Linked DNA regions of Xenopus tropicalis. The protein of the gene in region 1 binds, or shares a complex with, the protein of each later gene. Links are inferred from orthologs where the notes say so. Each region holds a gene or a part of one and is shown on either strand. Other genes may lie near its edges.

Region 1 (3,829 bases):
CAAAACATCCCCTCTAAGGGAGATTTAGTCAACACACACTTGGTTGCACAAAACTGGAGAGCCAAAAATTGAAACTGAAGAATGTTTTGGTATTGGTGCAGAGGTCAAAACTAGAGAGTCATTGGGAGTTTAGGAACAAGGAGGATATAGAAACAGGGAAGCTTGGAAGAACAAGTAGCAGGGCTGGACACCCAGGAGGTGCCGATGAGAAGAACTGATAACACCACTGTGCCATTTCTGTCGTAAATGTGCACAAAACACAATAAACTGTTACATGTACAATCACCGGTATTGTACCCGTATAAATGAGCTTACACAAACAAGGTACGTGACACTAATACCTGCTAAGGATTTAGCTGCTCACATATCATTTCGATAAGAAATGGTACATGCAAGTCCATCAAGTTCAACCCTTACAAGTAAACCCATATTAAATGTAAATGAAAACACAAACAACTTAGAATGAAAAACATTCACCTCCCTGAAGGCAAGAATGCAGGGAGAGGCTTTTTCTGTGCTGTTTTTCCCCTTCTAAAAGCCTGTTGTGTTTATGAGGTATTTGACCACTCTTGTTCCCTGCCTTAAGGGTTCCTTCAAATAAACAAGACATTACACGTGTTACTGTAAGCGCATTCTGTATGTTGTATTTCAATTGTGAATTGAAAACACACTTAATGACAATCCAGGGTACATGACAAGCTATCTATCAAGAGAGTACATCAACTCCCTTACGTTCTAAATATATCTGGTTATCGTCCAGGAACCAATTACTGTAAATATCAGCAACAATTCTGCTTGGCTGCTACAAACACCTCTTGTGACATACTAAAATGTCCCTGTTGCTATGGCTGAGGATTTACTCATTATGTAACACCTTACAGCCAACAGAAAAAGAAAGTGCTAATTATTTTGCTATGGAAACAATTTTTTTTTAAATACACAGCAGCAAATATTGTTTAATAATACTGCATTGTGTTGCATGTAACTCAGTCTGTCACGTACCTTTCCAGTAACTAAACAGTATTTCAGAAGATATACAAATGAACTACAACATACAGAAGAGAGGGGATTGATTAATGCACATTGCTAGTAATTTTTTCATTGAAAGTATATCTATATTTCAAAACCAGTAAGTTACAAAGTTATGATCATAAAAGTGTTAAAACAATCTGTAGATTCTGGTAAGTGCAAGCGGGGCTGCTGTAAGATGCCATATAGAAAGTCACTATTCATTGGGCTGGTGGGTACTTGGAATGCCAGGGCTTATCTCAGTCTGGACCTGGTCCTGACTATTTACCTCTGGCAATACTTTTCACAGAATAGCACCTCTCTGAATTGTTGCATTTCTTGTGAATATTTTCTCCTGACCAAAACACTGGTCTCAGTCAAAGACTTCATCCTAACCCCACCAGCTTTCTTAGGGTAGAGAGACTGCTTTGGTCTCACAGGCTTAATCCTCCCCCATTTGTGGCTTTTATAGCTAAGAGATGACACTAGACAACCTATCTTTAAAGGCATAAGACCACCATTAAAAGGGACAGGTGTGTGGGTGCTGCAACAATGACTTCACTAATATACATTATAGTTTCACTTTTAGTCAGACTGTTCATTCATTTTTACTGTATGACACAGTGATACACTGCATTACCTTTGCAATAGTAACAGCTTGCTGGGGATAATAAAGCGAGGCTCCAAGACCCATAAAACCAAGTGGATATATCACTTTTTTTACTCTTGAACCTGTTAGCAATTAAAAAAAGCACAATTTCAGTAAACAGTATTAACAAGGCTCATACTAATGCATAGCATACATTGGTCTTTCCCTGTTGTACAACAATAGCTTACAGCAATAGTGTAACTACAAGTTACTGGATCAACAGCAAGTTTTAGGTCTCTACTCCCATAATTTTTGTTTTCATAAACATACTGTATATAGATATATATGTGTTTTAGTCAGTCTCCCACTGGGTACTGCAGTTTTTTTTCTCAGTGTGACAGTTAATAGGGTGGTCCCCCAAATACTCAGCGCTTCTTGGTGGAGTTCTTTGAAACCAAATCTTCAATATAGTAGAAACTGTGTGATCGCGTGCTGCCTCCTCATAAGAACAACCCTCCCTTTTTAGATGGGTCTCAGATGTGTGTAATCGTGTTGATGGAAGCGCATGGAATTAGAGAAAAACAAAAGCAAAACTAGTGCAATACGTACAAAACTTTCTTTGTGACTAAAACGCTAAAAGATTTTTAGCGTTCTAATTTGGTGCAAAGTGTGCAAATATATTAGGTGAATCGAACAATCAAAAGTGCTTATACATCAGCCCAATGCAGTGTATCACACCCACACGATGTGTCCAAAGTAAATGCTCTCCTTAGTCCTCAGAGTATATGGAATGAAGAGGAATCGAAAATAGTATAAAATCTTTAATATGTAAAATAAAGCCCCTGCACAATGCAGGCTACTTACAGTGTGAAGCAGTATATCAGACACAACAAAATGCCCTGTAAGTAGCCTGCATTGTGCAGGGGCTTTATTTTACATATTAAAGATTTTATACTATTTTCGATTCCTCTTCATTCTAAGGACTAAGGATACACTGCAATCAATAGCCGAATTGATTTCTCTACATGCTCTTATTTCAATCAAATCTGGTGAGCATTTACTTTGGACACATCGTGTGGGTGTGATACACTGCATTGGGCTGATGTATAAGCACTTTTGATTGTTCGATTCACCTTATATATTTGCACACTTTGCACCAAATTAGAACGCTAAAAATCTTTTAGCGTTTTAGTCACAAAGAAAGTTTTGTACGTATTGCACTAGTTTTTTTTTCTCAGGCTGGTGTGGGGCACCAGCCCTGGGAAAAAAATGTAGCAATCTATTTCACGTGGAGGGGGGGGGGGGGTTAGTTTTGTAATGTATTTTGCAATTTGTATATCAGTGAAACCACAATTTACATACCCTGATTTCAAGTTTTCCCTCATTTTACACATTTTTTGTGATCCCACCAATATATTTGATTTAATCACAGGACACATATCGTTCCTGTATTAAAACACCAGGCAGTTTGTGTCATACCGACCTCTAGCGAGGAACAGGCCAACAATTCCAGCAAATCCAATCAAGCCCAGCCTTGGGTAGAAACCTGGAGGTGCATCTTTTAGAAATTCATATGTCCCTACAAACAGTGCAATACAACAGTTCAGCAATTTATCACATGTTGTACAAAACACAGTTCTGAGATAAAGCAGGGACAGAACAAGCTATCAACAAAATTCAGACAGGCAACCCAAACAATCTAAAATATATCATAATCCCCCAATGACTCTTAAGACACAGTCTTATGTGATTACCTTTTGAATGTTCTACAGCAGTCTCAAATTTGGGTTTGGCTTTGATGTAGGCATCCTAAAGATACATAAAATGAGAGAAAAGTTACTTGTGTTATATGGAGTGCAGAATGCATGATTTGTATTTATACGTAGCAGTACAACACAGGTATTTTTTTTATAATATAATCTATACATACACTTGCAGCTAAGAACTTATATTATAAAGGCTCAAATGAACTGTTGGGTTCAGTAAACACTATTTTACACTATGTTTCAAGGTTTTACAATGCCTGTTTTTCTTCCCTTTTTAGATTTTTAGTTTACAGAACTAAAACCTAAAAATAAATGCTAGTTCAGACCCAGAGGTTCATGCAGAGCATGAAGCAGAAAAGAATATATGGAGTTAGTGAGGCATTTTTAAGAGGCACAGGTCTTTAATGATAAATAGCTGTAGTCTCCTTGGGCTGATACAGAAGCCCAAAACATAATGTGTAGTATT
Region 2 (4,282 bases), on another chromosome or scaffold:
CAAATTACAAATGCTAATTCCAGGCAGTGTCATTCTATGGCTACTAAAGCAAATAAAGTGCTGTCTTGTATAAAAAAAAAGGGCATTGACTCAAGGGATGAGAACATAATTTTGCCGCTTTATAGGTCCCTGGTAAGGCCTCACCTTGAGTATGCAGTGCAGTTTTGGGCTCCAGTCCTTAAGAAGGATATTAATGAGCTGGAGAGAGTGCAGAGACTGCAACTAAACTGGTAAAGGGGATGTTTTCCGGTGCTTGTGAGAGGACATGATTACTCTGTATAAATACATTAGAGGGGAATATAGGCAGTTGGGGGATGTTCTTTTTTCCCATAAAAACAATCAACGCACCAGAGGTCACCCCTTTAGATTAGAGGAACGGAGCTTCCATTTGAAGCAGCGTAGGTGGTTTTTCATGGTGAGGGCAGTGAGGTTGGGGAATGCCCTTCCTAGTGATGTTGCAATCGCAGATTCTGTTAATGCCTGGATGGAGGGGCTTGGATGAGTTCTTGAACAAGCAGAATATCCAAGGCTATTGTGATACTAATGTAGCCAAGCTGGTTTCCTCTGAAGCTATAATAACAAAGTACAAGCATCCTGGATGTAAATTGTTGTTTAAGGGCCCCAACGCTGCCGGCTTATAGGACATTAGGGGAGCTCCCAAACTTTGTTGTTAGAACTTAACTGCTAGTGCAGTTTACATTGCATTGCACTGTTATTGCTATTTCTGCCTGTTCATACTTTCTGCATTTATCTGCATTTAATTTTTCTAACTCATTTTCAGCCCAGTTCCTGTGTAATAAATCTGGGTTTACTTCCTGTTTGTGTTGGTATTTACTGGGAATCTTTGGGGTGTCACCACAGTCACAACTACAGTACACCAAGCCATACCCTAGGGTGGGCTACACTAATATCTACAGTTAGTATTAATTTCTGTATATATAGTTTATGTATGTGAGTGCATAGATAGGTCAGTATAGGTTTGTGTGCTGGGTTTACTTGGAAGGGTTGAACTCTGGTCTTTTTTTCAACCGTATGTAACACCTCCAAGACCTCTCCCATGCTGCAAATATACTTAAAAATGCTATTTAACAATTGTCCATGGGTAATACACACAGACATTGAGAAAAACAAAGAATACATTATTTCTCTGTGTGTATGTCACTGTCACAAAGAATTACATACAGTGGTACATACATTTAAATAGGATTTTGCCTGTTTTAAAATCAAAGTGCACTACTCCATCATATGTTTAACTGTTCACAAATGAAGGCTTTCTATGAAGGTGCATGTCTTTGGGGAAACTGGTTGATCCACAGGGCAATAAGAAAACTTGCAAAAGCTTATTTAAGATACATTTCATATTACATTGCCCAAGCAAGCATTTAGCCTTAAGGCCCCCATACAAGGGCCCATGTAGGGGCAGAAACAAGCGGGCTGGCCGACCGATATCTGGCCTGAAATTGGACAGATATCGATCGGGCAGGTTAGAAAATCCAGTCGGATCGGGGACCGCATCGGCTCGTTGATGCGGTCCCCGAACCGACTGCCCCATTGCCGCCTACATAATCCGGTCGTTCAAGCTCCCCAATATCGCCCACCCGTAGGTGGGGATATCGGGGGAAGATCTGCTCGCTTGGCGATCTTGCCAAGCAAGCGGATCTTACTGTGTATGGGGACCTTTAGTCAATGCATTTCCTTATTGTAAGCTCTAGTGAATAGGGACCTCTCTTCATTCTTACATGTTATTGTTATCATTTTATATACTGTATAATTCAGTCCCAGTAAAGAGCTTTAGAATATGTTGGCACTACAAAGTATACAATAATGTACTAGTTTAAGGCCTTGTGCATGCTACAAACATAATCTACATTGGTCTAAAATGCTTAAAGAGGTAGTAAACCTCCATGTTTGACTGTTTAACGCGAGCAATGCATAATCTACATTGCTTAAATTTAGAGCAGCCACATCACCTCAGGCAGTTTAATTAAAACATGCTATAAAAACATTTACACATGCTCTGTAATGTACTGATGGAACTGTGGCTGTATAGCACTGTACTAACCTGTACAGGAGGGATTGTGCCAAAATAAGTTACGCTGTTCCTTATACAGGTATAGGAACCATTATCCAGAATGCTTGGGATCAAGGGTATTCCAGATAAGGGGTCTTTCCGTAATTTGGATCTCCATACCTTAAGTCTACTAAAAAAATCAATAAAACATTAAATAAACCCAATAGGATTGTTTTGCATCCAATAAGGAAAAATATATATATATATATATATATATATATATATATATATATATATATATATATATATATATATGTGTGTGTGTGTGTGATATGGTACACAGGGAGGAGCACACCCTATACAAGTCCAAATGCCTTTGGTGCAGGTCAAAAACAAAAATATAATAGAAAGAGTGCCGCACACACAGGGACTTGTGGACCTGAGGAAGAGCACTGGTTGTGCTCGAAATGTTGGAATTTTTTCAATAAAAACACTTTCTTTTGTATCAAGTCCCTGTGAGTGCGGCACTCTTTCTATTATATATATGATATGGATATATAGACACACACACTTACACCTCTTTAATTAGTTTACCTGCCAGCCGAAGTAATTAGCCCATTCTTGAATGGCAGGCGGTATGGCAGCTGTGGTCTTCTTCAGCACCTCCTCTCCTTGGGTGCCACTGCCCAGCAGCCCCTGGTCATACGCCACATACACAGCTCCCCCAGCCAGGCCTGCTTTGGTGGCAAACCTAAAATGAGTAGGAATTTGCTAAAACCATTTATTTCGCACAGACTCATTCTCCATATGAAGCAGAAAGCCTTAGGGCGTGGTATTCGTAAAGCTTGAAGCTAACTATATCCGACAATACAGCCCAGCAAGAATTCTTGAATACGGACATTTTCTGTCAGTAAGTTAAAAGCAGCAGCGCTTGACACAAACTCACTTGAGTATCCTCAATGCTGCGGAAGCCATTTTTCCCCCTCCAAGGACACGCCGCGCATCCAGCCTCTCTACTTCCGATCACATGAGACGGACAGTTCGCAAAGCATCTCGGTAATTGTAGTGTAGAGAAAATATATGGGTTTTTTCTAAACGCTTGCTTGAGATAACAAGCGTTTAGTTTGAATGACCCTCGTTAACTATATAAATGGTGACATTGTTCCATAGCCTGTATTGTTGCTATATATGATACAATTTTAACTATAGCTGTTCACATAAATATAAAACATATGAACAAAAGAACTACTATTCAAAGTTTACATTTTTTAGCATACATAAAGCGTAGTGATAATATGGTTTTTGGTTAAGCAGTTGTGTATTGACATTGTATAAGGTGCCACAGGATAAAGAAAACCTAGAAATAAAATTTTGATCACCAGTTAAATTTTGGCATTTAGTACAACTAGCTGTACACTAGAATACTTCCCATTTTGTATGCAATGTGTCAGACTGGGATTCGACCAAATCCCAAAGTAAAAAGCTAAAATGGGAGAGCAAACAAGAGGGCAGAAGAAAAGACACCACAGCAGAGTACAGCCCAGTCCTGTTTGGATTGACCAATGACCCCCTATACCATTGCTGATGTTGGTTTCTGACCAACCAAATAATCTGGTTTAGAAAATCAACACCAGCTCAAGAATCAAGAAACCAAATACGGTAGCACTACTGTACAAATATGGATGCCACCTTTTCCCATTCTGAAAGCCAGACAGGGTGGGGTGGGTATCATTTGGCACATTGCTACAGCAATCTGGAAAAGTTCTGCATCAGTGTAGGAGAATCCTGCTTATTTTTCTTGTTTGGAAAACTGGCCATGCAGGTTTGACCCAGACAGCCCTTTTGAAAACTGGGCTGTCCTGGTAAAAAGCAGGTAGAAACCAGAAAGGTGGCAGCATAAAATTAGCCATACCCATTTAATCCTTTTAATACGCCCAATGTGATGATTTGTTATTGGCATTGGTTATTGGTATTGGAGGATAAGATGGTGCAAACATCAGTTGTCTCATAAATGCTCAAATACTTTAATTCTTTGGATGGTATTCTTTTCTAATCACAAGCGTAATGTTTACAACACCCCAGAGGTAGTCCCCAGCACTAGTGGATGCTTACAGTAGTCCCTTGAAATCTCCTATTCCTGACCCTAGCGCTTGAGTCCCTATACTGGCAGGTGACTTTGCAGGGTACTAACCTTCCTTGGTTTCTTTGTTAGAGTCTCTGACTACTCTACTAACTACCCTGATCCTGGCTTTCACTCCTAAAGCAAACTAC

Evidence for each region.
Region 2: apoo (region 1) and micos13 share a complex: the UniProt entries of both Homo sapiens proteins name them as parts of the mitochondrial contact site and cristae organizing system (MICOS) complex. The link is inferred for Xenopus tropicalis from reciprocal best matches to the Homo sapiens genes APOO and MICOS13.

The regions. Positions count from the first base shown.
Region 1 is NC_030678.2:43,125,836-43,129,664, forward strand, and holds part of apoo (MICOS complex subunit MIC26), read right to left. Parts: intron 3,407-3,829; coding exon 3,352-3,406; intron 3,177-3,351; coding exon 3,081-3,176; intron 1,741-3,080; coding exon 1,649-1,740; intron 1-1,648. UniProt on the Homo sapiens protein: Component of the MICOS complex, a large protein complex of the mitochondrial inner membrane that plays crucial roles in the maintenance of crista junctions, inner membrane architecture, and formation of contact sites to the outer membrane.
Region 2 is NC_030677.2:114,330,312-114,334,593, forward strand, and holds the start of micos13 (MICOS complex subunit MIC13), read right to left. Parts: upstream 3,070-4,282; 5' UTR 2,987-3,069; coding exon 2,958-2,986; intron 2,763-2,957; coding exon 2,606-2,762; intron 1-2,605. UniProt on the Homo sapiens protein: Component of the MICOS complex, a large protein complex of the mitochondrial inner membrane that plays crucial roles in the maintenance of crista junctions, inner membrane architecture, and formation of contact sites to the outer membrane.